Linked DNA regions of Arabidopsis thaliana. The protein of the gene in region 1 interacts with the protein of each later gene in a pairwise test. Each region holds a gene or a part of one and is shown in the gene's direction. Other genes may lie near its edges. The genes, in order: AT5G66770, UNE16 and AT5G45580.

The links.
Region 2: the proteins of AT5G66770 (region 1) and UNE16 interact in binary tests that used the Arabidopsis thaliana proteins (3 or more experiments, as listed by UniProt).
Region 3: the proteins of AT5G66770 (region 1) and AT5G45580 interact in binary tests that used the Arabidopsis thaliana proteins (3 or more experiments, as listed by UniProt).

Annotation. Positions count from the first base shown.
Region 1 is NC_003076.8:26,656,033-26,667,425, forward strand, and holds AT5G66770 (GRAS family transcription factor), read left to right. Parts: upstream 1-4,278; 5' UTR 4,279-4,690; coding exon 4,691-6,445; 3' UTR 6,446-6,887; downstream 6,888-11,393. Other genes in the region: SDH1-1 (succinate dehydrogenase 1-1), read left to right, coding at 1-41, 150-324, 407-577, 676-745, 840-960, 1,052-1,192; AT5G66780 (late embryogenesis abundant protein), read left to right, coding at 7,595-7,761, 7,859-7,983, 8,091-8,164; AT5G66790 (Protein kinase superfamily protein), read left to right, coding at 9,149-9,863, 10,106-10,150, 10,247-11,355. UniProt on the Arabidopsis thaliana protein: Probable transcription factor involved in plant development.
Region 2 is NC_003075.7:7,931,963-7,942,614, reverse strand, and holds UNE16 (Homeodomain-like superfamily protein), read left to right. Parts: upstream 1-3,969; 5' UTR 3,970-4,117; coding exon 4,118-4,301; intron 4,302-4,575; coding exon 4,576-4,652; intron 4,653-4,760; coding exon 4,761-4,815; intron 4,816-4,905; coding exon 4,906-4,984; intron 4,985-5,062; coding exon 5,063-5,132; intron 5,133-5,328; coding exon 5,329-5,751; 3' UTR 5,752-6,009; downstream 6,010-10,652. Other genes in the region: AT4G13650 (Pentatricopeptide repeat (PPR) superfamily protein), read left to right, coding at 1-3,004; AT4G13630 (zein-binding protein (Protein of unknown function, DUF593)), read left to right, coding at 6,586-7,135, 7,212-8,329, 8,481-8,522; AT4G13620 (Integrase-type DNA-binding superfamily protein), read right to left, coding at 9,311-10,477. UniProt on the Arabidopsis thaliana protein: Transcriptional activator. Probable component of the central regulatory system controlling transcriptional responses to Pi starvation. Binds in a sequence-specific manner to phosphate starvation-regulated promoters.
Region 3 is NC_003076.8:18,476,300-18,487,314, reverse strand, and holds AT5G45580 (Homeodomain-like superfamily protein), read left to right. Parts: upstream 1-4,306; 5' UTR 4,307-4,668; coding exon 4,669-4,810; intron 4,811-5,123; coding exon 5,124-5,200; exon of another isoform or gene 5,201-5,239; coding exon of another isoform or gene 5,240-5,293; coding exon 5,294-5,360; intron 5,361-5,509; coding exon 5,510-5,585; intron 5,586-5,669; coding exon 5,670-5,748; intron 5,749-5,821; coding exon 5,822-6,223; 3' UTR 6,224-6,506; downstream 6,507-11,015. Other genes in the region: AT5G45590 (Ribosomal protein L35), read left to right, coding at 1,088-1,318, 1,935-2,050, 2,155-2,239, 2,583-2,672; AT5G45573 (uncharacterized protein), read left to right, coding at 10,739-10,768, 10,818-10,959.

The DNA of each region.
Region 1 (11,393 bases):
ATTATAACATGGGTGGTATCCCAACAAACTACCATGGCGAGGTAAGAATAAGAAAAGTCATTTAAGAAACTTTGCTGAAATTTGTGTGGAGTTAAGCATGAGATGGATTAGAAGCCTAGCTCTGAAAGTTATTCTGTTAAATCCTGCAGGTAGTTACCATCAAAGGCGATGATCCAGATGCAGTGATTCCTGGGCTAATGGCTGCTGGGGAGGCAGCTTGTGCATCTGTTCATGGTGCCAACAGGCTTGGTGCAAATTCACTGCTCGACATTGTCGTATTTGGTCGTGCTTGTGCAAATAGGGTTGCAGAGATAAGCAAACCAGGTTAGTCTTTTTTGAGGACTGCTGTTATTATAAAAGATAAGTCTCTTCTGATCATTTTTTTTTCTTTATTCGATTGGTGCAGGGGAGAAACAGAAACCTCTTGAGAAGGATGCGGGTGAGAAGACTATTGCATGGCTGGACAGGTTGAGAAACTCAAACGGGTCTCTACCTACTTCAACTATCAGATTGAACATGCAGAGGATTATGCAGAACAACGCAGCTGTGTTCCGCACGCAAGAAACATTGGAAGAAGGTAAACAGTGATCTGAACTTGTTCTGCATTTATTTAATTCTCTCACCTGCAACTGCAATCCATTTTCTTTACAATTTATTACCGTGAAACAATCACAGGTTGTCAGTTGATTGACAAGGCCTGGGAAAGTTTTGGGGACGTCCAGGTGAAAGATCGGAGTATGATATGGTAAGACAGACTCTATTCACATGGGATTGATTATCACACTGTTATAAAATCTGGTGAACTCTTGTTAATCTTGGAAACTATGAATAAAATGCAGGAACTCGGATTTGATAGAGACATTGGAACTGGAGAACCTTTTGATAAACGCATCCATAACAATGCATTCAGCAGAAGCACGAAAGGAAAGCAGAGGAGCACATGCTCGGGAAGACTTCACGGTTTGATTCCTTGCTCAGCTTTTCCACAATGATTGATTATCCCATAATGATGAAACCATAACGTAGTATAAATGAATGCGTGTGTATGCAGAAAAGAGAGGATGGAGAATGGATGAAGCATACATTGGGATATTGGGAAGATGAGAAAGTGAGATTGGATTATAGGCCTGTTCACATGGACACTCTCGACGATGAGATCGACACTTTCCCTCCCAAAGCTCGTGTCTATTGATCGAGCCCATGTTTTTATTTTATCTGTTATCGGAATAATAATAATAATCAGGAACCCCCCAAAAAAAGGGAATTAGGAGAAGAAGACGGAGTTATGAGCTGATGGAGCACAAAGGACTGTTCTGAAACTGGGTTTACGTTTTACACCAGAAACGATGAAAATAAATTGATAGAAAGAGGAAAAAACACTACAATTCTTATTTTCTTTATCAGTTCCTGAAATTGTTACATTCTTTGTTACCTGTTAATTACGCCTTGGTGATATTCATTTTTTTTTTTTAAATCAAAATGTTCGAATTCCGTATCGACCGTGAAAGTTATTTTGCGGTGATAATAGGTATCAGAACACGAGATACAATTTTGAGTTGTGACCATTAGAAAAACAAAATTTGGGTTGTTTTTTCTTGTCTGAACAAAATTTTATTTTAGGTAAATTCGGATCAGTCAAGGCATTTTTTAGGCCTACAAGTGGGGGTAATTTCAAATATTTTTGTTCAATATTTGCGTATCTGAGCGAGTTTTAGATTGGTCCGATCGTCGTCGCTAGATGATAATGTTGGCCGTAGAAAATGTGACCTTTATAATGTATCTCTCTTTAAAAGTCGTCCACTTGCTTATGGCGTATACTAAAAAAGTGCTCTTCCACATATGCAAATTGAAGATACAGTCGGTGAATGTAAATACAAAAATGATCTATGATTACGACCTTGAAGCTTAGAAACTAGCCCCACACCAATTCGACTAATTATGTAGTTCAATATTACACTAACCAACCATAAGATATTATATTTTTCCGCATGCGTGTGTGTTATTCCTAATTAGAACCAATCGATAACAAAATTAGAAAGCTCCACACAAATTAAACTAAACCAGTCGACTTCACCAACCAACCTTATCTATTAACCTGCTCATTTCACATTTAACAATTCCAAAACCCAATCAATTATAGTTAATTAAAAAATTTCGACACAAAGCTGACTTAGCAATGCCTAAAACGCAACGTATGAAAGAGAAATCGAGGAATGTCGTAATTAAATTGTCTAATCTTCATCTAACCTTGTCAATAAAGTAGGGTTTTTACTCACTCATACACCTTTCTTTTTCTTATCCTTATCTTAAAGTAAAAAATCTTTTTCAAATTTACTTTGACCGGTTACGGAACTTATGCTTAATGGGGGAAGATTCATATATATATATATAGACATACAAAACTTATTAGAATATATGGAGTTTTACCCGGAAAAAAAAACTCATTAGAATAAAAACTAATTCTTGTTGTTATTTACTTTTTACACAATGAATTTAACCAAATTGTAGAGAAATTACCTTATCTACTGCTTTTATGTTAATATAGTTCATAAGAAATCTGAAAAACACTATGCACCTAGTGCTGTATATTCAGAGACTGTTGTATGTTTTATGTAAAAACTGAAAGAGAGATGTGTAAGAAGTGGGTCACCAAAGTGAAGTGAGTGACATTTTGACGTGGAGACAAAGGTGCAGTGCAACACAAAAGAGAGGTTAGTCGAAAAGCCAGAGAGATTAAAACGTTGTTTTTTGCATATTTTTCTTTCCCACTCACTTTTTTTTATATAAAAAAACACATTTGCAAATTATCATTTATAAAAAGAAAATACTTTAACTATATCCTTCTTTATTTTCTGTTCAACCAAAATACTTTAAATATCCAACACAAACTCACATTTTAATTTTTGGTGATCGTTGCACTTAGTATGGTTGTTGCACACATTAGAAAAACTAAATTCTATAGGATTCAATTGTTCTAAAATTCTAATTATATATGTGAAAAGATGAAAAGCTGTCAGATTATATTTCCCTTACTGTATGTGTTACTATTAAAAACACTCCAGATTATTTTTTTTAAAAGCTTTGGAAATACTGTTTTATTTTTTTCATTTTTGGGTAATTTTTAAAAGCTAATTTTAAGATTGGTTGCTTCAATTGTGCAAGATCGATCCAATAACAGTTAAAAAGGCCCCACCAGCGATTCCTTTTCCGTGTCATATTTTAGAACTTACATGTATATTGGGCTGATCCATGGGCCCATCTGTCACCCTCATACAAACTATATATAAATTATAACACACACACAGTCTCATATATATATAACAAGTTGTCAATGAATAAATTGACAATACAATTTGAGATTATGTCTTACTTTAATTAATTATTTTATGGTGCGTCTATATTGTATCATGATGTTAATGTTTGGATATATATACAAACAAGTAATTTTCACATCAATTGCACTCTTCTTTTAATTTGTTTGGTAACCATGAAAATAAGACCATCTATTTATTTATCTATGAATGAATAATTAAGGAGGTAGGTGAGTCACTGAGAGTCAAGAGCAGTTTGTGATGGGAAAGAAGATACACATTACAGAGATCAACGGCAGAGATGAGGAACCCTACAGTATGATGACGTCATCGTTGACAGTGGTGGACCCCACCTCTCGGGTCCCTCGAAAAGAGCGGGATGAGAGATTTGTTTTCATTCATACACTTCTCAGTCTTCTGAATCTTCATCACTCTTAAACTTTAGGTTAATTTCATTTTTTGTAAACATATTTTACATCTATCTTAACCCAGATTTATATACGGTACGAATTTATTGAAAATATGGTATAGTTTGGAGGCATGAAAGAAGTAATATCAATATTGACAAGGAAAAGAGCGAGTTTATTTGTCTAGTGATGAAGAAGGACCCATAGCTTCGTCATATCCTCTCCTCCCACTGAGCGTTTCACTCACCAAAAAAGCTCTCTTTAATTTATTTTATCTTCTATTCCTTTATTTAGCAAACATTTTTTTAGTATTTGATTATAAAATCTGTTTAATTTTTGTTTTGGCGCGAGAGTGTGCGTCACGTGAACAAATTTACATTGTTATATCCCAAACGGAGACATTAATATGAACAACCTCGGCCATTATATGTCATATCGTCTTTAAAAAATGTTACACAACATTGTGAACTCAAATTCAGAAACTTGTTAGCGGATGAATCGATAATGACGAGTTCACAATGTAAAACTATGATAACATTCTCTTACACACAAAAACTAATGTGGGAGTAACTTGTACATATCTCTCTATTTCTTTCTTAGGAGACTAACAATTTGGAATTAGATCCAATGATTTCTATAATGTATGCATAAATATGTTATTGGTTAAGAGATGTGGTGTGTTTATATCGGTATTATTACCGTTACAAATATCATTGTCTTAAAAATAACAAAGAAAAATGTGTGGACCCACAATGAAATCAGACGGTCAGATTTTAATCAAACGTTGATCCACTTTCTAGGGCTGACCTTTCTTTCTTCTCCTCTCTTTACCTCTCTCTCTCTTCTAAAATCCAAAGCTTGAGATCCCGCCGTTTCTCTCTGGTCATCATCCTCTTCTTCAGTGACCGCAAATCTGCATGTTTGGCAGTGGTTTTTATAGACCGCCGGGAGGGTTAGATCTAGGCGTTAAGAATGGCTTACATGTGCACTGATAGTGGCAATCTAATGGCTATTGCTCAACAAGTCATCAAACAGAAGCAGCAACAAGAACAACAACAGCAGCAACATCATCAAGACCATCAGATTTTTGGTATTAATCCTTTGTCTCTTAACCCATGGCCCAATACTTCCCTCGGGTTTGGGCTTTCAGGTTCGGCTTTTCCCGACCCGTTTCAAGTTACCGGCGGCGGAGATTCCAACGATCCTGGCTTTCCTTTTCCTAACTTAGACCACCACCACGCCACAACCACCGGCGGTGGGTTCAGGTTATCTGATTTCGGCGGTGGAACCGGCGGCGGCGAGTTTGAGTCCGACGAGTGGATGGAGACTCTTATCAGCGGTGGAGACTCCGTTGCAGACGGTCCTGATTGTGACACCTGGCATGATAATCCCGATTACGTAATCTACGGTCCTGATCCATTCGATACTTACCCGAGTCGACTCAGTGTCCAACCGTCAGATCTAAACCGAGTCATTGACACGTCGAGTCCGCTTCCTCCGCCGACCTTGTGGCCTCCTTCTTCGCCATTATCGATTCCTCCGCTTACTCATGAGTCACCAACCAAAGAAGATCCAGAGACTAACGACTCCGAAGACGATGACTTCGACCTAGAACCACCTCTCCTCAAAGCTATATACGACTGTGCACGGATCTCAGACTCTGACCCTAACGAAGCTTCCAAGACGCTTCTTCAGATCCGAGAATCTGTATCGGAGCTAGGTGATCCGACGGAGCGAGTTGCATTTTACTTCACGGAAGCTCTCTCCAACAGACTGTCTCCTAATTCGCCGGCGACGTCGTCTTCTTCTTCATCTACGGAGGATTTAATCTTATCTTATAAAACCCTAAACGACGCTTGTCCTTACTCCAAATTCGCACATTTGACGGCGAATCAAGCGATTCTAGAAGCGACGGAGAAGTCGAACAAGATTCACATCGTCGATTTTGGAATCGTTCAAGGTATACAATGGCCTGCTCTTCTTCAAGCTCTAGCTACTCGTACTTCTGGTAAACCCACTCAAATCCGGGTCTCGGGTATACCCGCTCCATCTCTCGGTGAATCTCCGGAACCGTCGTTAATCGCCACCGGAAACCGCCTCCGTGATTTCGCCAAGGTTCTGGATCTGAATTTCGATTTCATCCCAATTCTCACTCCCATACATTTACTTAACGGGTCAAGTTTCCGGGTCGACCCGGATGAAGTACTGGCCGTGAATTTCATGCTCCAGCTCTACAAATTACTCGACGAGACGCCGACGATAGTTGACACCGCACTACGGCTCGCCAAATCGTTGAACCCGAGGGTCGTCACTCTCGGAGAATACGAAGTGAGCTTAAACCGGGTCGGTTTCGCTAACCGGGTAAAGAACGCGCTTCAATTCTATTCCGCGGTTTTCGAATCCCTTGAACCGAACTTGGGGCGTGATTCGGAGGAGAGAGTGAGAGTTGAGCGAGAGTTGTTCGGCCGGAGAATCTCGGGTTTGATTGGACCGGAGAAAACCGGAATTCATAGAGAAAGAATGGAAGAGAAAGAGCAATGGCGGGTATTAATGGAGAATGCCGGTTTTGAATCGGTTAAGCTGAGTAATTACGCAGTGAGCCAAGCGAAGATTCTATTGTGGAATTACAATTACAGCAATTTGTATTCAATTGTTGAATCTAAGCCTGGCTTCATCTCTTTGGCCTGGAACGATTTACCTCTCCTCACTCTTTCTTCCTGGCGATAACCAAACCAAACCGATCCGGTATTCTTAGTTTTGTTTTGTTTTCAATGTTATTTTTGGTTAGACAAATATTCAATTGTTAATATACTCCGTGGTCAGAGTGTTTTGTTTTTCTTTTAGTTCGAACGTTGAATTAATTCAGGGGTAGGTTTTGAATTCTCTGAACCTTATGTGTTTTTTGGTAACATCATTTGGATTTGTGAACTAGGTTTAAAAACTGGTCTTAGTCTTGTTGTTTTCTCATTAGATAATTTAAACTGGTTTGCTTCTTTATTTTTGGTTGGATAAAGTGACCGGTTCTGGTCATCTGTTTGAGATGTAATTACTATTTCATAAAATTAGGAAGTTGAAAGCCAAATATATTTGTAACTACTCTTTTATTTGTAATTTTGCTCAAAAAAGTGATGAAATGTAGTTTTGATATATGAATATCTACCATTATACATAAGTATATCTGAACATGGTACAACTTATGAAAGCTAAATGTCAATACTTGCAAAGATATAACAAATACAAGTTACATGAATAAGAGATGTGTGTTGAATTTATAAGTGTCATTTTCTTTTCACTTTAAAACAAACTTCATCTTCTTTTGTTTCTTATGTGTCAAAGTTGCCACAGTTGCTCTATTTGAGTCTTTCAGTGTCAGTCTCAGTCACTGTACTGATTTTACTTTTTTTTGTTGAGTGTGCCAATGATGACATCACTCCCACGTCCTCCATCCGTCTTCTTTTAACGGTCACGTGGCTCCCACCCTCTTTTCTCGATGTCTTTACCGACTTGTTCTAGCCCAACTTACTTGGGCCATTTAGATTTTTTGGTGGCCCAAGTTGCTAAAAGAGGATTTATCATAGAAATCTGAACCCGTTGCAGCGCTCAACACATGTCACAGTCCTGACAAACACGTATTCAAATCCTTGTTAAGTCCCGCCACCTGTCACCAGAGCACCACGAGGCAAACTCTGATCAGGACACCGTCGTACTATTATGTCGGAAGACAGGAAAGCTTAATTAAGCTTAAACCTGACGTATTTAACTTCGTTAACTCTACCTTACTAAAGGGTTTTAATTTAAAACTTATCATCTCCTCGTAAGAATAAAAACTACTTACTCTATAAATTTAAGCTTCAAGAAACCTCCAAAAGCAGAGAAATGATCAACGCTTTTAAGACTATCCGATCACTGCCCTCGAATACCACCGTCTCGTTCTGCTCAACACCATCTCGATTAGGCCGGAAAGTCACTGGAGTTAGTTTTGCCACCACTTCTGATCAGCAAAAGATGGATAAAAAGCCTGAAAATCCAAACGAGAAAACCGGGTTCGTCTCCTCCCCATATGTGTGTAGTTGTTTCTGATTCGTAATTTGGATGTTATTCAAAAAAAATTTCGTTCTCTTCTTTACTTTGATGGAGCAGTGACGTGATGTCGCATTCTTATGGAGAAGGGTACGCAACAAGGTCTGACGAAGAAGGGTTTGGAGGAATCTATGGAGGAAATCAAACACTTCAGAAGGAAAACGAGATCCATGAGAATCACCCTGGTACTCAGAATAGTTAGTTATCATATACACGTTTATTACTACTTATATGATCACTTTTATTGTTTACGATTCTGGGTGTGTGTGTGTGTGTTTTCATGTTATTGAAGATTACGACAAAACGCAAGGTAGCGAATCGAAGGAGAAGGAGAAAGCAAGGAACCAGACACAATCCCACTGCTAAAGAAAAAATGATGATTTAGTGTCTTTGTTCTTTATGCTTTAATAAAATCAGACTTGTGCTCTGTAGTTCGTAGACTCTGGTTAGAGTTTTTTTTTTGTTAATTGCGTTTTTTGACCCGTAACCTTTACCGGGTTTTTGTTGGTTATCCTTATCACTTTTGTAACACTCGTTGAATTAGTAGTTTTTGTTGATTGTTGAACATTCCCTTAATTTGACTGTGTTTGTTTATTTATGAACAAATCTACGGTTTTTTAGTTGAACCGTCGAGGAAAACATTCTTAGATAACGTCAGCAATGAATATTAGCCTGTTTTCGGACTTTCGATTCCGATGCAACACGTTAAAAGTAACGTCAGCGAAGATAAATTTGGTAAATTCATCTGAAACTCCAATGCTGATGGAACTTAGCTGGTGTGTTGCGTGTTCATAATTTATGTTATTAGTAACGTCTTAGAAGTTGGAATATTCACTCCAAGTTCGCACTTCAAAACTTTCAACAAGTTTTTAGTTCTTATCGTACGTCTCAAAACAGAGTTGAGGAGATTTAGCTTCTACTGTTTAGTGTTCTACACTTGCTTCGTACAAAGAATTGAATTTTTATTTCCATAGTTACATGCACATATTTGTATTAACAATCTCTTATTATTGGTTAGTATCATATCTGTAGTTATTCGAACACTGGGGGCAAATTTCATTTAATCAATCACCTAACGAGGCTATGATGCATGATTAACGAACGTTAAAGCCAAAATGTCAAGACTACCCCCTTATTATCAGCTCGCAGTTGGTCAATGCCTCAATGGTCTGAAGTTCAGACTCTGAACTATAATACAAGGTCAACTCAACCCGCTGGTAGTAACGAAAGTACGAAACAGTCAAAAACATATCTTAAAAATTACATAAAAACCGGAAACGAAGTTGCAGAATTTACAGTTTCTGCCATTGGGACAATCATTCGATCTCATCATTATCCTTCTTTCTCTCCATGGCAGAAACTCCTCAACCGTATCTCATCTTCGTCTTCTTCGTCTTCACTCTAACCGTTGCTACACAAACCACCGGTTCGGTTAAGTGCAAAACAAGTTTGCTCCGTTACCCGTTTGGTTTCTCCGACGGTTATCCGATCCGATTCAACTGCTCTGAGATAACCGGAGAGGCCGTGATCGGTGAATTCGCTGTGCAAGAAGTGACAAACTCCAACATCTACGTCGAAATCCCGCCGGTTTGCAAACGCAACATCCGTAAAATCGAACAACTTTTCCGGGAAAATCTTGCTCCGTCGAAATTACAGAACATAATTCTCGTCCAAGGATGCAAGAAACAGAACAAGTCTTCTAATTGCTTAATCCGCAATAAATTCGTTGAAAACCGGTTAAATCTCAGCAAATGTAAATCTCCGGTTAGCTGTCTCGACGGAGCAACAACGACAACTGCCGATGTGATGAGTTTAGGCGACGTTGTGAACGGAAGTGGATGTAAGTATTGGTTCTCTTCTATTTCTCAATCGCAAGTTTCGGTCAATTTGGGTCGACTCAAGCTTGATTGGTGGCTTAAGGGAAGTTGCAGTAACACCACTTGCTCGGAGAACGCAGACTGTGCCAAAGTTAAGCTCGACGACGGTGGACTCGGTCATCGCTGCACTTGTCGTGAAGGATTTAGCGGTAAAGCCTTCACCGTGCCTGGTGGTTGCCACCGATTAGGTTCGTTCCGGTCTTTGACTTTTGTTTTCCAATCTTGACCGACATACAAATACACCAATGGTACAATGACACGTACGCTTTTAGCAAGGAGGAAAAGCTGACTTTTCAAAACTTGGCGGAAGAAATTAGTTGACAATGATTTTTTTTTGATAAACAATAAAACAAAACGATATTTCTGTTCCGACAAAAAAATGAAAAGAAAAGATATTTCTCTTAATTATTTTTAACTGTCATGGTTTCAGTTTACAAACGCAAAGGACTACACAAACTCGTTGTTCTTGGTACTGGTAAGTAAATTACTAATCCTATTATTCGGTTAAGTATCAATTAGTTGCGGTTTAATTAAGTCTCGAAAAGTTGAATGTTTTGTGTTTTTGTTATAGCGGGGATTTTGGTTGGAGTTTTAGTAATCGTGGTCTTGATAGCTACATATTTCTTCCGGAACAAGCAATCTGCGTCATCTGAAAGAGCATCAATCGCGAATCGCTTGCTTTGCGAGCTAGCCGGAAACTCAAGTGTTCCTTTCTACACCTACAAAGAGATTGAGAAAGCTACCGATAGTTTCTCCGACAAGAACATGCTCGGAACCGGAGCATACGGAACAGTCTACGCAGGCGAATTCCCAAACAGCTCATGCGTCGCTATAAAACGTCTCAAACACAAAGACACTACAAGCATTGACCAAGTTGTGAACGAGATCAAGCTTCTTTCCTCTGTGAGCCACCCAAATCTAGTACGTCTCTTAGGTTGTTGCTTTGCAGATGGAGAACCGTTTCTAGTCTATGAGTTCATGCCAAACGGAACTCTTTATCAGCATTTACAACACGAGAGAGGCCAACCACCACTTTCTTGGCAGCTCCGACTCGCCATTGCGTGTCAAACCGCAAACGCAATCGCACATCTCCACTCTTCAGTAAACCCTCCTATCTACCACCGAGACATAAAATCTAGTAACATCCTCCTTGACCACGAATTCAACTCCAAGATATCTGATTTCGGACTCTCTAGGCTCGGCATGTCTACCGATTTCGAAGCCTCTCATATCTCCACGGCTCCACAAGGCACTCCAGGATACTTAGATCCTCAATATCACCAAGATTTTCAGCTCTCGGACAAGAGTGATGTCTATAGCTTTGGAGTTGTTCTCGTAGAAATCATCTCAGGCTTTAAAGTCATAGACTTCACTCGTCCCTACTCTGAAGTGAACCTAGCCTCTCTTGCCGTCGACAGGATCGGAAGAGGGCGTGTGGTAGATATCATCGATCCCTGCTTAAACAAAGAAATCAATCCGAAAATGTTTGCATCTATCCACAACTTAGCAGAATTGGCGTTTCGCTGCTTATCCTTTCACAGAAACATGAGGCCTACGATGGTAGAAATTACGGAAGATCTCCACCGGATTAAGCTTATGCACTATGGTACAGAGTCAGGTAAGTTCAAAAACCGATCCGAAATAGATATGAAGAGACAACAATCATTTCCGAGAGAATGAAAAGTAAACACTTGGCAGAAATTATGTATAGTTTAGTA
Region 2 (10,652 bases), on another chromosome or scaffold:
TGAATCATTTCAAGAAAAGAGAATTGATTCCGTGGAGAATCGTGGAATTCGACCTAATCATCAAACTTTGAAATGGCTTCTTGAAGGATGTTTGAAGACAAATGGGTCTTTAGATGAAGGAAGAAAGCTACATTCCCAGATTTTGAAGTTGGGTTTGGATAGCAATGGTTGCCTCTCTGAAAAGCTTTTTGATTTTTATCTTTTTAAAGGAGATTTATATGGTGCTTTCAAGGTGTTTGACGAAATGCCTGAGAGAACGATTTTTACTTGGAATAAGATGATAAAGGAGTTAGCTTCTAGGAATTTGATTGGAGAAGTGTTTGGTCTTTTTGTGAGAATGGTTAGTGAGAATGTTACTCCGAATGAAGGAACTTTCAGTGGTGTTTTGGAAGCATGTCGTGGTGGTAGTGTTGCTTTTGATGTAGTTGAGCAGATTCATGCAAGGATTTTATATCAGGGCTTGAGGGATAGTACGGTTGTGTGTAATCCTTTGATTGACTTGTACTCTAGGAATGGGTTTGTGGATTTAGCTAGAAGGGTTTTTGATGGGTTACGTCTGAAGGATCATAGTTCTTGGGTTGCAATGATATCCGGGCTTTCGAAAAATGAATGTGAAGCAGAAGCCATTAGATTGTTCTGCGATATGTATGTTTTAGGTATCATGCCAACGCCTTATGCGTTTTCAAGTGTTTTAAGTGCGTGTAAGAAGATAGAATCTCTTGAGATTGGTGAGCAGCTTCATGGGCTCGTATTGAAGTTAGGGTTTTCCTCCGACACTTATGTTTGCAATGCACTTGTGTCTTTGTACTTTCATTTGGGAAATTTGATATCAGCAGAACACATCTTCAGTAACATGTCACAGAGAGATGCAGTTACTTATAACACTCTTATCAACGGGCTTTCTCAGTGTGGTTATGGTGAGAAAGCTATGGAATTGTTCAAAAGAATGCACCTTGATGGACTTGAACCAGACAGTAATACTCTTGCGAGCCTTGTGGTTGCATGTTCAGCTGATGGAACTCTGTTTAGGGGACAACAGCTACATGCATACACAACTAAACTTGGTTTTGCTTCAAACAACAAGATTGAAGGTGCGCTCCTTAATCTGTATGCAAAATGCGCTGATATTGAAACCGCCCTTGATTATTTTCTTGAGACTGAGGTTGAAAATGTAGTTCTCTGGAATGTGATGCTAGTAGCTTATGGGTTATTAGACGATTTAAGAAATTCTTTTAGGATTTTCAGACAGATGCAGATAGAGGAAATTGTTCCAAATCAATATACCTACCCGAGTATTTTGAAAACTTGCATACGACTTGGGGATCTGGAGCTTGGAGAACAAATCCATAGTCAAATAATAAAAACTAACTTTCAGCTCAATGCCTATGTTTGTAGTGTGCTCATCGATATGTATGCAAAATTAGGAAAGTTGGATACTGCCTGGGATATACTTATAAGGTTTGCTGGAAAAGATGTTGTGTCTTGGACAACAATGATTGCAGGTTACACGCAATACAATTTCGACGACAAAGCTTTAACAACTTTCAGGCAGATGTTGGATCGAGGGATTCGGTCTGATGAAGTTGGATTGACAAATGCAGTTAGTGCATGTGCTGGTCTTCAAGCCTTAAAGGAAGGACAGCAAATTCATGCTCAAGCTTGTGTATCTGGTTTCTCATCTGACCTGCCATTTCAAAATGCACTGGTTACACTTTATTCTAGATGCGGAAAAATAGAGGAATCGTATTTAGCGTTTGAACAAACTGAAGCTGGAGATAATATAGCATGGAATGCTCTGGTATCCGGATTTCAGCAGAGTGGAAACAATGAAGAAGCACTTCGTGTCTTCGTTCGAATGAACAGAGAAGGAATTGACAATAATAATTTCACGTTTGGGTCTGCTGTGAAAGCTGCTTCTGAGACAGCTAACATGAAACAAGGGAAGCAGGTTCATGCTGTGATCACCAAAACCGGATACGATTCAGAAACCGAAGTTTGCAATGCTTTAATCTCTATGTATGCCAAGTGTGGGAGCATTTCTGATGCAGAGAAGCAGTTCCTTGAAGTCTCCACGAAAAATGAAGTTTCGTGGAATGCGATAATTAATGCTTATTCTAAACATGGGTTTGGTTCTGAAGCACTAGATTCTTTTGACCAGATGATACATTCTAATGTAAGGCCTAATCATGTGACGCTTGTGGGAGTTCTATCAGCATGTAGCCACATAGGACTAGTGGACAAGGGGATTGCATACTTTGAATCCATGAATTCAGAATATGGATTATCTCCTAAACCGGAACACTATGTGTGTGTAGTGGATATGCTAACTCGAGCTGGTCTTTTGAGCCGTGCGAAAGAGTTCATTCAGGAAATGCCTATTAAGCCAGATGCCTTGGTCTGGAGAACACTTTTGAGTGCTTGTGTAGTGCACAAGAACATGGAAATAGGAGAATTTGCAGCGCATCATCTCCTAGAGTTAGAACCTGAAGACTCAGCAACATATGTTCTTCTGTCAAATCTGTATGCGGTGTCCAAGAAATGGGATGCTAGGGATCTTACAAGACAAAAGATGAAAGAAAAGGGTGTGAAGAAAGAACCGGGACAAAGTTGGATTGAAGTTAAAAACTCAATTCACTCTTTCTATGTTGGTGACCAGAATCACCCGTTAGCAGATGAGATACATGAATACTTCCAAGATCTTACCAAACGAGCATCTGAAATCGGGTATGTGCAAGACTGTTTCAGCCTATTGAATGAACTGCAGCACGAGCAAAAAGATCCAATAATTTTCATCCACAGCGAGAAATTAGCAATTTCATTTGGACTCCTTAGCTTGCCTGCAACAGTGCCTATAAATGTAATGAAGAACCTACGTGTTTGCAACGATTGCCATGCTTGGATAAAGTTTGTATCTAAGGTATCAAATCGAGAAATCATAGTGAGGGATGCATATAGGTTTCATCATTTTGAAGGAGGTGCTTGCTCTTGTAAAGATTACTGGTAAGAGCCAAAGCCTGGTAGCTCACTCGCCTCTTTTGGGAAGGTTAAGTCTGTGTTCCAAAGTTCGAGCTCTGGTTCTCGCTCAAAGAAGGAGATCATGGACCAAACCTTACGGGTAAGCTGAATTCTCAGCAATGATATGATACTAGACGATATACTTGAGCAAAGAGTATTATCCTGAAGGAAAGAATAGTCACATGACTGTTCTTGAGGAAAAGTTGGAGTTGATGCAGGAGTTGATCATGAGCAAAGGAGACCATCGATGACTTAACAAAACGAACCACTCCTTTGTTTCTACTACCATTGCTAAGTAACTATCACTATCTTTCATACCCCATCCTTTTTTAGGGGCTTATATATGTGTACATATTACATATATACGTGCATCTATGGCTTTAAAATTGATGAATTGTAGATTAAGAGAAAGTGTCTCAAAATAAAGATTCTATGTTGCCAAGAAACAGAGTCTCTCTTTATGCATATGAATGATTGATGTGCTTCTGATTTCTTAATGTTTTATGTGGCTGAATTTGGAAACTGCTATTACATAAACAAATTTTGTCAATAGTAATATAAAAATTAAAAAACTAAAGCTAAAGAATACTTTTTTTCTCTTGAATTATATAAAAGAAAAATAATTGGAAAAATGTCTAGTAGGTTTAAAGGATTTGATATTTAAAAAAAAATTGAGGACCCTATTTTTTTCTTTTTTCATTTGGTTTATTTTAGCAGTTAGCACCATCTTAAGATAGAGAACTTGAAGTTTTATTCTGCTATTGAAAAACGAAAATAATAACTAAAAGAAATTTTATCTTACTACTTTTTCAAAACATATATGTTATTTGGAATTTCAATGCAAAGAGTACAAATAACCAAAACATAAATTCTGCTCTCTCTTTTTTTTTTTTTGAAAATATCTAAATAAATTCAATAATGCACAAATATAAACACAAAATACTATCCGAGTGTTGTCTTGTCCAATCTATCAACTCGTTTCTTCGCTGTCTTAGAAATCCACAATATCTTTCTTCACACTTTCTTTCACTTTCCCGGGAAAACAGCCGAGAAAATAAAAGAAACGAAGAAAAGTTTGTTCCTTTGTGGGGATCAAAGAAGAATGTACTCGGCGATTCGGTCTTCGCTTCCTCTAGATGGCAGCTTGGGAGACTACTCTGACGGAACCAATCTTCCCATCGACGCTTGTCTGGTCCTAACCACTGACCCCAAGCCTCGCCTTCGTTGGACCTCTGAGCTCCATGAAAGATTCGTTGACGCCGTCACTCAGCTCGGCGGACCCGACAGTAAGTGTCCCTTCTTAGAAATTTATGGATCTTAGAATGAAATGTGTTTTTTTTTTTAATCTGTTGTTCTTCAGTTAGTACGAAGAATTTGACAACGAGTTAGGTCTAATTTCTTTCAGATTTGGAAGTCAATCATCCTGAAATAGAATGGATTTCTTGGGTTTATGTCACTTAGAACAATTTAGGAATTACTGTGGCATTCTTTAGGTTTTTTTTATTGGCCTTGAGATTTGTTTACAAGATTAGTTTTTTTGTGTGTTTGGTTTGATGTCAGAAGCAACGCCTAAAACTATAATGAGAACAATGGGAGTGAAGGGTCTCACTCTTTACCATCTCAAATCTCATCTTCAGGTTTTGATGCTACTACCTTCAATATCAAATTATGCTTCTTTGGCTACTTATAACAAACAAAGTTCATTGCTTTTTGACTGTGTTGTTCTCTGGTTTTTTGCTCGGTAGAAATTCCGCTTGGGGAGGCAATCTTGTAAAGAATCAATTGACAACTCTAAGGATGGTATTCAGTTATATCTTTAGCTAAGAATCCATTTATATCTTTATGGATTCAGTTGTGCATTTATATCTTTGTGAACTTATATCTCTGTAGTTTCTTGTGTTGCGGAGAGTCAGGACACTGGTTCATCTTCAACATCATCCTTAAGATTGGCTGCTCAAGAACAGAACGAGTATGGTTTCAAGTGTTCTCTTTATTCCAAGTGTTATATTCACTGTCTATAACACTCATTGTTTTTGTCTTGAGCCAGGAGTTACCAGGTCACTGAAGCTTTGCGTGCCCAGATGGAAGTCCAAAGAAGACTACACGAGCAACTAGAGGTTAGTTTCTTCTTCGAATTCACCAAATACCAGAGAGACTTTGGTTAATGAGAGACTATATAGAAACCTCCATTGAATTTCCTTAAAGCTTATCAGAACGTTACTACTTAGGAAATCTTTTCATGAAAGTTAGAACCATAGAAACCGCATATACTAATGTTTGAGCCCTGGTTCCACATTTAATAAGATCCATTAGTATACGCAGGTGCAAAGGCGACTCCAGTTAAGGATCGAGGCACAAGGGAAGTACCTGCAATCAATTCTAGAGAAAGCTTGCAAGGCTATAGAGGAGCAAGCTGTTGCATTTGCTGGGTTAGAGGCAGCTAGAGAAGAGCTTTCAGAGCTAGCCATAAAGGCCTCCATCACCAATGGGTGCCAAGGAACAACAAGCACCTTCGACACAACCAAAATGATGATTCCATCCTTATCCGAGCTTGCAGTAGCAATAGAGCACAAGAACAACTGTTCAGCAGAGAGCTCTCTGACTTCCAGCACTGTAGGAAGTCCGGTATCAGCTGCGTTGATGAAGAAGAGACAACGAGGAGTGTTTGGAAATGGAGATAGTGTGGTTGTTGGTCATGATGCTGGATGGGTTATGCCTAGTAGTAGCATTGGATGAAGTTAGCAAGAGAGAGAGAGAGAGCGAGACCAGATTTTAGCTTATTTAATTTTGCTATGTTGTATTTAACTCTAAACTCTGTCATCAAACTTGTCTTAGCGTCTATGTATATATTTGTTGAATCTGTAGCCTCTCTTTTAGTTTGTGTATTTGCTTCAACTTTTTCTAAGCTTGCCTTCTTTTTTCTTTTTTGGACAAACCTAAATATAGAATTTATGTAATTGTATAACATAAAAAATACTCATTAAATACTCATAACTTATCTCCATGCTATAGATTGGATCTTGTCTACAAATTAGTTGGCACACATTTGCGTAAATGCACAAATTTGATTACGTGTGTAAAATAAAATGTCAAAGAAAAAAAAAAAAATCTCAAGAGGAAGAGAGTGATGGGGTCGGCGATAAAATGACGGCGTATCTGCTCACTCGTACGGTGATTTGCAACTGAAGTTTTGAAAACTAAAAAAGAAGTTTTGATTTTTGAACAAAGAGAGAAAATAAAAACGGCAGAGGAAGAGCCGTTTACGTTGTGCTTGCTTCCCCAAGATTTCTCAACTTCTTCTTCTTCGTGTGAGTTTCAATTCTCTAATTTACTAAAAATTAATCAAATCGCAAGGAGTTTCTCTGTGTTAACGATTGATTCATCGTTGAGTTTTCTCTGTGGTAACGATTGTGTTTATATATAATTTGATTGATTGATTGATTAACTTACCAAATTAGTCTTAGATTTGGATATATGCTTGTAATTGATTCAAATAACAATTTGATTCTCTAACCAATTTCTCAAACTTTGAGTAATTTCTGTAGATTATTGTATACTTGCAGGTATAAAATGCGTTGCCAGGAGGTAAAATCATGGACATTTAAAGGTTTAGTGGCTGCGTTTATCGATCTTTCCGTTGCGTTTTCGCTACTTTGCGCATCGTTTATCGTTTATGTAACATCGAAGTTCCTCGGTTTATTTGGTTTAGACCTACCATGTCCTTGTGATGGTCTATACAGTGAGTGTTTTCAAGAGAGTTTAAGGAATCTTCCGGTTAAAAAGATCTCTTCTGTTCAAAGATCTGTTAAAAATAGAACACCTTTTGATTCAATTCTGTATAATGGTGGAAAGAAGAGAAAATGTGAGCGTAGACGTGTTCAGTTGGAAGATGAGGTATCTAGTACTACTCCTTCTGTTGGAAAGTTTGAGAATAAGGCTTCAGGGTTCGATCTTTTAACTGCGCAAAGTTTGAAAAAAGGAAGCTTTAAAGTTAAGAGTAAGCGGCTTAGCTTCCATAGGTCGCCGTATGGTTTCAAGAACCATTACCAAAGTTGTTTAGGCCTTAAGAGCTTTGAGGGATCATATGATGAAAATGATCCTCTTCTTGTGAACTCCAATGGTAAGTTTTTTTGTTGTCTTTATTCAATTATATTGGATAGTGAATGTTGATTTTGATGCAAGTTGTAACATTGTAGATAGTGGAAAAGCATTGGAGGATGTGTCGTTGCGGAAAAGTGTTTCACTAAGTTCTGTTGGGTGTGGAGTGGGAGAGGGTGCATGCAGTTCCCCTGGTATGGTACAGAGGACGGTTGAGATGTCAGAACAAGTGCTTGGGGAAGAACGAGCTGCACGTGCTTCGTTAGCTCTTGAACTTGAGAAAGAGAGAAATGCTGCTGCATCTGCTGCAGATGAGGCTTTAGGTATGATATTACGGTTGCAAGAAGAAAAGGCGTCGATAGAGATGGAAGCTAGGCAATATCAGCGGATGATAGAAGAAAAGTCTGCTTTTGATGCGGAAGAGATGAGTATTCTTAAAGAAATTTTGCTTAGGAGGGAGAGGGAGAAACATTTTCTGGAGAAGGAAGTTGATACCTACAGGCAAATGTTTCTTGAGACTGAGCAACCTCACAATACTCCAGATTCTAAACCAGCTCAAATCGAAAGATTGCAGACGCCGCAACAGATTACTGAACCATGGGATGACATGGAGACTGTGAATGTCTCTTCTGGATTTGAGATCTTCACTAATCAGATGGACAATACTGAGTGTGATCAGTCAAGAAGTGAGCCATTTGATGCCCTGAGTGATATAGAACTGAAAGAAAGAGAGGAAGGTGAAACTTTATATGCAGAACTAGTATCAAGAACTAGCGACATTGCTGTTTCTAAGAAGCTTTGTGAGGACCCTCACGACATTGATTGTCATGTACATGACATCCATGTAGTGACTGATGAAGATAACAAGGGGCAACTGAATGTTCCTTCTGACCATGCCACTCAGGATCTGAAACTGGACAGATCACAAAGTGTTTCAGATACAAGTTATGCATTTCCACAAGGGAAAAGTAACATGTCTACCAATATGCGAAGAAATTCAATGTCAGCTATTGACTATGAAAGACTGAAAATAGAGAGTGAAGTTGGGTTGCTGAGAGGTCGGTTAAGAGCTGTACAAAAGGGAAGAGAGAAGATCAGTTTTTCTTCCAAAGATCAGAGCAAATCGCAGGTACAGCGTTGTGGAGATAAAACAAGCCGGTTTTGGGAGGCTAGAAGATCTGGACATCTTGACTCTTCTAGCCCTTCATCCACAATGGTGAGTTTCATCGTTGTGTGCTTTGATATGAGGGTTGAAAAATTGCTAAGAGTGCTCTCTTTGTTTCACAGTTCTTGGTAGTTAAATCTTCCATGGTTTTTTGCTTACCAAGTGGCTGAATCTTGTATGGTTTCAAATGGTGTTTTTGCAGGTAAAGGCTATGTCTATGCCACTGGACCTGCATAGTGCTTGAACTGCAAGGTATGTACTTACTCGAAATAACACGACACGATTATACGCCTAGTGAAAACATGAGCAAGTGTAGTTTTGTAACAATCTCTGCCAAAACTCTAATGTTGGTTATTGCCGGGAGAGTATTGTACTTTGTACTCTAAACGGCGTCGTTTCGAAACAAAAATTGACGCTTTTGTGGTCGGTAAAAAGTTTAAGTTTCTTCTCTTTCCAAATAAGTGATACTTGTCCTCTTTCTATTTCTGTGCCAAAACTTTAGATTTTTCACTTTTGTTTGCATATTCGGAAATACAATTGAAGCTAAAAATGACATAATTATTTCTAAAGTTATATAATCAACTTTTTATTTGGTTGTAGAAACTCATATTGTAGTTGTTGACAAAAGAAAAGATAATCTAAATTCATATTTGCCCTTTAACGCTTCTCTGCCCTATTACTATTCATATTCTCTATTGACCTTTGAGCTTTAGTATAGAATGTAGGAAATATTCTAACATTGGACTTTTAAAGTTGGAGTTGGTGCAACAGAATTATAATATTTTCTCATTAGAAAACAAACACTTTTCTATTTTATGGTTACTAGTAACCGCAAAGAAAAGAACAATTAATTAGCAGACAAAAAAAGGAGAACCACTTGATTATGTGGTCGTAAGAAGAATTACAATGTGTTCAACCCCAAATGCAAACCAATCTTGGCATCATAATATGAATTTCTTTCTTTGGTGGAAACTTTTGATATAAAAAAGGGTAGAAGTAAGTAAAATAAGTTTGACAAATATTAATTTGAAGTCAAGAAGAATGAGGAAATGAGAGAGCATCCCAAATGAGATCCATATCCAAAGAAGGCATCCTACTCAATTGTACACCATCTCCTTCCATCACTTCCTTATGGCTTTTCTGTTTCTTCATCATCACGTCTTCTCCTGACTCCATCTTCATGTGATGATTCTTTTGCTCCGGTGTTCCCACTTTTGGAGGAGGAGGAGAAGGAGAGTTACTTACTTGGGAAGATGAGATCTGTTGAATCTTGGACTCCAAAAGTGAGGCGATCATGCATCGCAAAGAACCGGACTTGAGCTGGTGTTTAAGATCAGGAAAGTTGAGGTGTGCGAATTCGCCACGAAGGATATAAGCTGCTGTATCGTAAGCCATTGCTGCTTGCTCAGCGGTTTCAAAAGTGCCGAGCCAAACACGGGTTCTGTTCCTTGGAAGCCTAATCTCTGCGACCCATTTGCCCCAGTGTCTTTGTCTCACTCCTCTATACAGTTTTGTTGGGGTCGTCGTCTGAACAACCTTTCTTGTTTTTGACTTCATGGGTTGAGTCTTGGTGGTACTTAGCCAATAGTTTCCAAAACCTTTCGAGGGATAGTTGGTTAGAGTTTTATTGATCTCTACCCATTCGTTTCTGTTTTGGTCTGATTGATAAAAGGAGTTTGGGATGTATTTATGGTAAGGGCTCATGTTGCTTTCGGATTGAGAAAGTTCTAGTAGCTTTGGTTCTTTAAGGAACAAAGTAAGGTTTGGAGGTTTAGAAGGATGATGATCAGGATGTTGAGACTGAGGAAAAGATTCTAGAAAGTTCCAAGGAACAGAAGCTACCGGAGATGGATGAATAGAAGATGTGAGCTCATGATCATGAGGCGACACAAAGTAGCTCGGAGTCGAAGAAGCAGGAAGAAGAGGAGATTTCATACCTTCCAAAAATATTGGAACACCGAGAAGTTGTGGCGGCGTCGAAGAACTCAAGAACCCGTAGATTCCAGAAGACAAGAGCTTGTCGTGCATGAAGCTAGTTTCTATTTTAGGAAACTGATCTTCCATGTTCCTTTTTTTGTTTGTTTTTTGAGTGTTTGTCCAGAGAATGAAGCCTGTTCTTAATTTTGACAAAATAGGTGGAGAATAAATGTTTATATATACGAGAATTAAGGAGTGTTGTGTGTGTATTGGTGTGATCATGTGGAGATAATATTAGAAAATTTAAGGAACCTAACTTTATTGTCCGAAAAAAACATTATCATCTGACTCAGATCTACGCTCTGCCAAGCTTAATTTGTTCATATGTAAACTAGAGAATTAAAGAGTCTCACAAACACTTTTGGTTAAACAATATTATTGTTAATATTTTGTATTT
Region 3 (11,015 bases), 8.2 Mb from region 1:
CACCTACTCTCCAGAGACCTTTTTACACTCAAACATTACTAGAGTGGATTTATGGAAACGTGGGAAGTCAGGTGGTTAGAGAGGGGATACCGTGGGGGACAGTGTTCAGTATGGCAATGTGATGGGCGTGAAAGTGGAGATGCGGGAACGTTTTTGGTGAGAATAGGAAGTGCCGTGATCGTACCCAGTTTGTGAAAGAGATATCAAAAGATGTGTATCAAGCACATTGTCTTGCGAATGGAGGTCAGATTAAGAGGGTTAGAGTGGAGCGTCAGATTGCTTGGTCAAGACCGGATGAAGGATGGTTCAAACTTAACACGGATGGAGCCTCAAGAGGTAACCCGGGTTTAGCCACGGCTGGTGGGGTCATTAGAGATGCGGTGGGGAACTGGGTCCAAGGTTTTGCTTTTAATATAGGGGTATGTACGGCTCCTTTAGCAGAACTTTGGGGGTTCTACTATGGGCTTTATTATGCATGGGAGAACAAGATTACTCGGTTAAAGTTGGAAGTTGATTCGAAGATGGTTGCGGGGTTTCTTAAGACGGGGATATGCGATACTCATCCCTTGTCGTTCCTAGCACGCTTGTGCTATGGCTTTTTATCAAAGGATTGGTTGGTCCAATTGTCTCATGTGTATAGGGAGGCGAATCACTTTGCGGATGGTTTGGCTAATTATGCATTTTTATGCCTTTTAGGGTTGCATTTACTAGATTCTTGTTCGGATTGTATCTCATCTTTTTTTGATGAAGACTATCGTGGGATCTCGTATTCACGGCGTATTTGTTTGTAATTTGGTTTAATTTTATAATAATATTTTGAAGGGGACTCGTTGTCCCCTTCGCCTACAAAAAAAAAACAAATTAGTTTGGTATTTTTTTGGCTTTTTTCCCAAAGACATTTTACCATTATCAAAGTAAAAGAGAATGATGACAAGAAAAAAAAAGAGTAAAAAAGAATAGAGTTATCCTAATAACCAAACACTCAAAATCATTTCCCAAAAACCCCAAAGCTTTGTCACACACACTTCTTCTCTTTTATAAAATTCGCATTTCAATCAGAAAATTGTTCTTCCCCTTGGAGACGACAATGCAGAGGTTTTGCACTAAGCTACGTTCCATTTCTCTCCAATCTAATCGGAATCTCTCTTTTTACGGTGCTTCTCCTCACCGTCTCATTCACCATTCTCCTTCTCCGAGTCGTCACTTAACAACAACAACCCTAGGTTTTGCCAATTCCACCAAATGGAGCTTCGTTCCCGCCGCCGGAGTTTTTCCGTCGAATGTTAGCTCCATGGGCACTACCTTTGTTCCTCATCACGTAAGTTTCCAGAATTTAGCTTCAATTGCTTTATATATATCTGCTGATTGAGACAAATCTTAGGAGGACAAGATCTGACGAGTGACGAGCTAGATAGTTTGAATTGGTATATAGTTTTAGCTTCTTCTGAATTTTCTATATGTTCTGTTGAAACAAAATCAACAACATGGATTACTAAATACTAATTCAAAGAATGTTAATAAGCTTACTTGCACTTTGTTTTGAATCCAACTGATACAAGTCAGTGCTTGCATATATCACTACGTTGCAAGTTTTAACCTACTAAATCTCTTTTGTTAAAAAAAAAAAAAGAGCTTACTCAATCTCATAAGATACATACATGTTTTCTTTGGAATCTTAACATTCGGATTTATTGTGTACGGTTCTTGAATTTTGTGCCCCTTGTTTGATCATAGGAAAGAAGAATCGTCATGGCTTTGATTGCGTGTTTTCCGAAAATAGAATTATTTGTTCATAGTAGCTCTTGCATTTTGATATCATGTTCGTTAAGCCAGATGATAAAGGCGGTGTGCTTGAGTATCATCACTACGAAGTACCAACATTGATTTATATCTGATTGCTTATCTTATGTACGTTTGATTCTCTCTGCCTTCAGTTTGTTCAAGTACGAAATATCACTTCTAAGGAAAAAATGGCAAAATGGAAGAAGAAGTGGAGACCTAGGACTCCAATCACATCAAAAGTCAAGAAAGTCAAGATTAAGTTTTATTCGTACGTGCTGAAACTTCTGATTCCCAGATTATCAACAAATCTTGTTAGTAATAGTTTGGGCGTCTCTCTCAACAATTTTTTTTTGTGTTGAATCTATATCTCAGGTCATTCAAAGACAGGTTTAAACCACTAAATGATGGTACCATCCGTCGCTGGAAAGAAGGCAAGCGCCACAACGCACATTTGAAGGTAACAACACCTTATTCCTCATATCGATGATAGAAAATTTTATTCATTCTTTGGCCTACGCCTCTAGAGGAACAGTATGATAATACCTAGGGATAGAACTGATCGAAAATTGCCCAACAGCTGATTCTGGTGATAGTGAACTTAAATTTGGATAGAACTAGTTTTGAACTTCGAGTCTTTAGGTGTTTCCTTGTTTAGCTAAATGGACAAATGGTAGGCAAAGTTGTATTTTACAATACCATCTCTGTTGTTGGACCTCTTCGGGGTTTCATCATTGTGTAAGATTTCTGAGTCAGGTTGAGAAATGTTGAGTGTAAAGAATTTGTTTTGTTAATTGATGCAGTCAAAGAAATCGAAGCGTAGATTGAGACAACCTGGACTAGTACCACCAGCATATGCGAAAGTCATGAAGAAACTCAATTTCTGCAATTGAGAGATAGAGCATGAAACAGTATGATTACGATGAAAGCCAGTCTCTTCCAGTTTTTACCAGATAATTTTGCTCACTGGTACTCAAAAAATCTTTATGTTTCAGTTTAACTTCATTGGAATAAATTGAGTTTTCGAAATATGGTGAAATTGGCGTTAAGACTGATCGGTTTTGAAAAGAGAAACAAGTTAGGCTTATGATTTTTTCTCAAGTACATTTTCCAGCTAAACCAGAAGAAACTTTGTTTCCCGAGTCGGTCCGGTTATATGATATTTCGGTTTAGTCAGATTGTACCGGTGTAAACCGAGCTTTGGATTGAAAAATACACCCATTCTCATGTTTGGTTAGGACAAAACGATTGCGGTCGAACGAAGCGGCCTTGGTTCCACGTGTGTATTTCTTGTGGGTCTCAATTTCAACAAACGTAAAAGACAAAAGAGTAACAAAGCCGTCCACGTGTCCTATGTTGAAATACCATTAAACCCCCACCGTCGAACATGTGAGTTTCAGATTATTGTATTTTCCTTGTCCGACGGCGAATATTCCACGCTGGCAGTCTACGTGACATGCTCGCCCCATGCACTTTGTTTTCGTCATATAAATTCCTTTTTAAAACCATTGAATTATTATTGTTATTGTTTTTAAAAAAATACAAAAAAAGGTTTTATGTCGCTCTTGTCGGAATTTGACACCGCTCATCACTCATCATGTATTGATCGTCGCCGAATACAACGATTTGTTTTTTTTTTAAAACAATTTTTAAAAGGTCACAATACAACAATGAATTTCATCAAATCTTTTATCAAAAAAAAAATGAATTTCATTTTATTTGATTATTCGGAATTGATTTATGTGTAATGTGGAATGTGTAATAACAAATTACTAATTTAGTAATTTGGTCGAAACATTTTCTATGTTTATTTTCTTCTTCTATCTCAAATTGAGACTATCCGACAACATATGAATGATAAATTTATATGATACCTAAATAAAGGAACAACATGGAGAGAGATTTTGATTCATGGATTGTATGAGAATGAGACAAAACCTTTAGTCATAAGTTATCTGATTTAAAAACACATAAATCTAACATATAAATTATTCAAATGATAAAAATGATAATTCCTAGAAACTATATATTCTTTGGACATTAATAATCTAGGTATAGTAAACAAATATCCATGATGCGGGCCATGTTCCTCTCTCCCATGTTACGATTCTGAATATACAAATACCTCTTGATTGATTACAAAAAGAAAAAAAAAAGTACGCAATCATGTATATATTTTATTCTACAACATGACATATACACGGTCTAGCATCTCATAGACACAATTAAAAACGCAAGTAATATGCGGTTGGTAATTGCGTTTGTATGCAATAAATCACTAATCAGTCATAATACAATAAAATTTTGCTATGTTTTGCTTTCATACTATTCACAAAATCGATATAAAAAACGTTAATAATTACTATTTTCTTTTTTATTATCATAATATTTCGATATGGATACAATTTGTTTTTGTATATAAACAAACTTTTAGTGTTGGATCCATAATTTGTATTATACATATATTATAATAATACTATATTAACCGAAGGTTGACGTTAAGTCACGAATAATGTCACCACTTCTCCTCCTCCATCATCATCATCACCGCGACGACTTTTTTAAGTTCCCTTTCTCTCTCTCTGAGATTTTCCTCAAAAAGTTTTCTGATCTCTTTTTCTCCATCAATCATCACACTTCTTTCTATTTATCTCGTCCTCTCGTCGCCGATTATCTCTTTACCCTAATCACTCGCATTCCCATCTTTAACAAAATTTCTTCCACTTTCTTTCCGACCAATATTTCGTAGTTCGATTGCCATTTTTCCTTTTTTTGAGTTTACGCTTCCTCTTTCCGATCACATCCTTGAGAAGAGGAAAATTTCGAAGTTATTTGATTCATTCTTCCGACTGAGTTTCCCGCCATTATTTTGTTTGATCGGAAAATTAAATGGAAAGAGTGAATCTCGGAGGTTTAGGTTACGATAATGGCGGAGTTATGATGACTAGAGATCCCAAACCTAGGCTCAGATGGACAGCCGATCTTCATGATCGCTTCGTCGACGCCGTCGCTAAGCTCGGTGGCGCTGACAGTAAGCTCCTCTTTCCTCCTCTTCTTCAATTGTGATAACCGGTTTCACTTTATAATTCCGGTTCAGTCCGGTTAAATCTACAGTTGATGTATCTGTGTAACAACATTATAGCTCTTTTACTCTTTCTTATTCTTCAATTGAGATAACCGGTTTCACATTATGATTCCGGTTCACTTCGGTTTGGTTGGTTAAGTTAATGCCAGTGATTCAATTGATTCTTCTCTATGTAGCTTGATAACTTCAAATTTAATAGGTTACAAATGTAATTATATCTGTTTGCTTAGTGACATTTGTTATTGGTTTGGTTTTGTAGAAGCAACTCCTAAATCGGTTCTGAAGCTGATGGGATTAAAAGGTTTAACACTGTACCATCTCAAGAGCCATTTACAGGTCCAAATTTATACAAATTTGAGTATATAATAATGTATAATGTCTACAAATTGTTGGTTTATATTCTCTCTTATGATGTGTTTCTATATGCAGAAGTATAGACTTGGTCAACAACAAGGCAAAAAACAAAATAGAACAGAACAAAACAAAGAAAATGCTGGTATGTATGATTATTATCAAGAATTCAAGATTTATATATAATTCAGCTTATAGTAGAGTATAATATATATATACATATGATGTATTTAAGGAATATTAATGTAGATAACATTTGAGAAACCAAAGATTGATTGATTTTTGTATTCACAGGAAGTTCATATGTGCATTTCGACAATTGTTCTCAAGGAGGAATCTCCAATGATTCAAGATTTGATAACCATCAAAGGTATATTATATATGAATTTGCCTTCTCTCGACATAATGGATTTGTAAAGCTTGAGTTTGACATAATGTTAATGAACACACGTAGACAAAGCGGGAATGTACCTTTTGCTGAGGCAATGAGACATCAGGTCGATGCGCAACAACGGTTTCAAGAACAACTCGAGGTAACAAATCTCTTCTTTCTTCTCTCACAACAATGAATAAAAGTTTTAAACCGAAGTTTTTGCGGTGTTATAGGTGCAGAAAAAACTGCAGATGAGAATGGAGGCACAAGGAAAATATTTGTTGACATTACTAGAGAAAGCACAGAAGAGCTTACCTTGTGGTAATGCAGGGGAAACAGACAAGGGTCAATTCTCGGATTTCAATCTCGCACTTTCGGGACTTGTAGGAAGTGATCGTAAGAACGAGAAGGCGGGTTTGGTTACTGATATCTCACACCTTAATGGTGGTGATTCCTCTCAAGAGTTTCGGTTATGTGGAGAACAAGAGAAAATAGAAACCGGAGATGCATGTGTTAAACCAGAATCCGGGTTTGTGCATTTTGATTTGAACTCCAAAAGTGGGTATGATCTCTTGAATTGTGGGAAATATGGGATTGAAGTGAAGCCAAATGTGATTGGAGATAGACTTCAATAGGTTAAAGAGACACTTTCTTTAATTTTTTATTTTATTTTATTATTTCTTTACATTTCTTATAGAATGTTACAAATTTGGCTTCATGGTTTCTCAGTCAAATATCAAGAACATATTTGAAGTCCAAAGTAGTTGATATCAGCTAAATACGGAATAATTGGGTTTAACTAAATAAGTTATTTTTGTGAATAATAAAGTGTAGCATCTTCTCTCGCTTGTTCTGCAAAATTCAAAACCTATTTGCTTGTTTCTTAATTCTTTTCAAAAATATGTCTATGCATCTAATTGTCTCTTTCTAAAAAATGAGGATCAAACAAAGATGAGATTTGATTCTCATGATTGATTTTCTCAGTTAAAAATAAGGGAAATTTAATAGAGTAACCCATATTTTATACATAAAGACCCAAAAGGAATGCTAAAAATATGAGTTATTTGAGTAATAATTATACCTAAATTATCCTTGTTTTCCTTTGCAGAGAAAAACAATATTACAGAAATGCCATTACTATTTAATTCCAGCAAGGCAATAAAACCACATTTATTTACGAAAATGCCATCGTCGTTTTTGATAAATCTGTGGCTCTTGTTGCGACGGATTTGTTATCGATCACAGATTTGTTGGTCAACCACAGATTTTTTACAACAGACTTGTTTTGTACCCCAGACTTTCCTGTGTTATGTTACGCCAGATTTTTTTTTTTTCGCAGATTTTTTAACCGTGACTAATTTGTTTCATATAGTCTCCACAGATTTTATTTAAATTTCAAAAGTAAGAATGTTGAAACCAAATCTGTCACTGATTTGTTTTTCGGACCACAGATTTTTCTTTATGGCGGCAACAGATTTTCTATTTGCACCCAAAAATCTGTTGTGTTATAACAGATTTGTTAACCTCGAAAAATGTTATATAGGCATGACAGAGTTGTTTTGTGTAATCACAGATTTAATTAACTTGTTAACAAATCTGGTGTTTTACAACAGATTTTTGTTAAAAAATAAAATTACTACACAGTCACATAGTGATAACAGATTTGTTTTTAGTGATGACAGTTTTTTTTTTCAGTGTCAAAACATAACAGATTTACTCATGTCAATGTTATGGCCGATTTGTTTATGACTAGAATAACCTTTTTAGTAATAACAGACTTTTTTTGGCAGATTTATTTTTAAAATTTCGAAATTTTTTGTTATATGAGATTTATTAGCTAGCCCTCAATTAAATTATTTCCGGTTTGATTGTATGTTAAATCCGGTTTGACTTGATTTTTTTTTTTTTTTTTTGAAAACGTTATGACAGACTTTTATTAGGCGACAGATTTTTCCGAAATATTACCATATTTGAGTCAAGGAATATTCTCGTAACGCCTAGGGTTTCCAATGAAAAAAACTGCCATTGTCGTTTTCTTTTTTCTTCTGTAACGCCTACCAAATCTAATTTCAATACAATCCATTATTCTTCTACCTATTCGAGATCTTAGTTGCTTCATCTTTGACACAAATTCGATTCCCTTGTTTATCGATTCTCTCTTTGGTATGGATCAAGTAATTCTCGTGTGTGGTAAATGGGTATATGAGAAAACGAGATGGATTTTTGTGGTTGATAGTACAAAAGGTTGTCGTGTACTTGAAGGTAATAGTCAAACCAGTTATGATGATTTCATCCAAATGGTGTATGAGGATTACAATATCGAGAAGAGTGTATTTGAAGTTATTTTGAGTTACAAGATCCCGAAATCAAAGCAATTACCAGCAGATACTCCACCTGTACTCATTGGTAATAATAGACAGTTTCAGTCTTATTTGGGGCAAACGAAGAATGATACTGTTCGACTTTGTGTTGAATTAAAAGAGAAAGTTCTAGATGAATATGAAGAGGAAATCATTGATGATTTAGGTAGCAGCGACTTGCCGAAGACAAAAGCAGTTGATGTATACGGTATTGTCGAAGAAAACGTTGAAAACGTTGACGTATTCACTCATACTGATAGCGTTGTTGAAAGAAAAAAATCTGAAGCAGTTGAAGATGGTGAAGATGACGGGAGTAGATTTGATTACTGTGATGATTCCGACGGAACAGATTCTGATGATGAGAACTTTAGCCTCTATGGGATTCCACCAGAAGAAGAAGATAAAACGAACGTATCAAGCAAGAAGATGAGTTTAAGTGTATACGTAGAAGAAGATAAAGGAGATGCTACATACGAGACCTTAGAACTATCGTCATTGGGATTGGCCGTTGGTCAATGTTTTGAAACGAAAGATCACTTGGAGACACGTTTGAAGATACTTACTGTGTTAGAGAAATTTGATTTTGATGTTTCGAAATCGACTCCTACATTATATTTTGTAAAGTGTTGGATTAAGGGATGTCGATGGAGAGTGCGAGCAACACCAGTTGACGAGTATCCAAAGTTTCAGGTGAGAGTGTATGTTTCGGAACATACATGTTCTGTTACTAAACGCTCATCACGTTCTCGACAAGCTACTCACGAAATACTTGGATTGCTCTATAAGAATTACGTTGGTGGAATTGGACCTAAGGTTCTCCCAATGCACGTTGCCGAAGCATTGACTAAACGATTTCAAATCAAGGTACGATTTCCAATTTCTTGGCTTTCTTTGTTTATTAATTACACCTTGTTTTCAACCAACTAATCACTAAAGTCAATACATTTTATTAGATGGATTACTGGAAGGCTTATCGGACACTAAGATCTGCCCGAGAGATGGTTAGGTATACACCAGAAAGTGGTTACGAGCAACTTCCGGTATACTTGTACATGCTAGGGAGGGAAAATCCTGGAACCTTCACGCGACTTGAAGTGGATGAAACACAGCGATTTAAGTACTTGTTTCTTGCGTTTGGTGCAAGTATTTTAGGATTCCCTTTCATGAGGAAAGTGGTGGTTGTTGACGGTACTTTTTTACAGGGAAAATACTTAGGGACACTTCTTACAGCAACAACTCAAGATGGTAACTTTCAGATATACCCGATTGCTTTTGCCGTTGTTGATACTGAAAATGATGCCTCATGGGAATGGTTTTTTAGACAACTCAGCAGTGTGATTCCAGATGATGAAAGTCTCGCCATTATTTCAGACAGGCACCAATCCATTAAAAGAGCAATAATGACAGTTTATCCTAAGTCTAGCCGGGGAATCTGTACATACCACTTGTACAAGAATATATTAGTTCGCTTTAAAGGTCGGGATGCATTTGGTTTGGTAAAGAAGGCAGCAAACGCTTTCAGATTAGTCGATTTTGAAAGGATATTTGATCAGATTTTAGCTTTGAATCCTGCTCTTCATGCTTACCTTCAAAGAGCTGATGTACGTTTGTGGACTCGTGTGCATTTTCCTGGTGATAGGTACAACTTGCTTACAAGTAACATTGCGGAGTCAATGAATAAGGTCATGTCACCCGCAAGAAGCCTTCCTATTGTACAACTGTTAGAAGAAATTAGATCCATGATGACGAGATGGTTTTCAGACAGAAGGAATGATGCATTGAATTTGTCTACATATCTTACTCGTGGAGTAGAGAAGATATTGCAGGTTTCATTTCTAATACAAACACAATTTATACACGTCCGTATATTGGTGATTATAGCTAACTAATGACATTGTCTTCTTTGTAGAGTCGTGTAGAGCACGCTAAATTGCTAAGTGTGCAAGACATAGATGCAAATCAAGTACAAGTTACGTTTGGAGCATCTCTGCATGTTGTTAATTTGAAGGACAAGAAATGTTCTTGTCGCAGGTTTGACCTAGAAAAGATCCCATGTGCCCACGCGCTTGCAGCTGCTGAAAAACGAAAACTTTCTCGGATATCATTGTGTCATCCTTACTTTCAGAAGAATTATTTATGCAAGTCCTATGCTAATGCCATCATGCCCAGGAACTTTGATATACCTGTTCCCGAGAATGTCGTGTCGAAGATATGTTTACCACCGGAAGCTCGTCAACAACCAGGTAGACCAAAGAAATCGAGAATTAAGTCTGCACTAGAGATTGCTATGGAGAAGAAGAAGCCTAGAAGACAACACACTTGTGGCAATTGCAAGCAAATTGGACACAATCGTAAGACATGCAAGGCTTAATGTCTTTTATGACTTTTTTCTTTTTATGTTCATTTCTATGATTCTGTTCTAAGACAATAAATCCCAACGATTCCCGTTTGCTGTTTACATTGCATATGTCTGAAACCAAGGGAAAAAAAATACAACGAATTCATTAAGCAGCCTTCTCCTAAACGTCCACAAAGCTTTCACTAATGCATTCAATCAACAGATGTATCCCAATGAAAACCAAAAAATCTGATTTGCAAATTTTTGATGCTTATATAAACCAAAAAATCAAAAGAACGACTTAAACCGCGCATTAAAGACCCGAATTGAAGATTCGTAACGTACGACGTTAATAACGCGAGATCCGCGGCGTGAAGTCAGCAAGTATTTTAATACGTTTGATTCGATGTATTGAGTATAAATAGGATTCGATGACATTTGTAAAGGGGACGATGGAAGATAGGCATTTTTACCTACTTCCAGTTTCGCCATGAGGTCAATATTGTTCACCTCGAGTTCCTGGACCCGTAGCTCGGCGTCTTTCATCCGCTTCAGCACCCTGCTGGCCCTCTTCACCGTATGAGCGTTCTCGTCTTCATTTCGCCTAAAGCTGTCAAGTTCGCTATCCTTGTCGGAGTTTGCTGTCTTCAAGGGTCCCCGACATCACGACCCTGTCAGACAAGATCCTGGCCTTTTCTTGATTAGCTCTTTCCCTCTCACGCTTCTTTT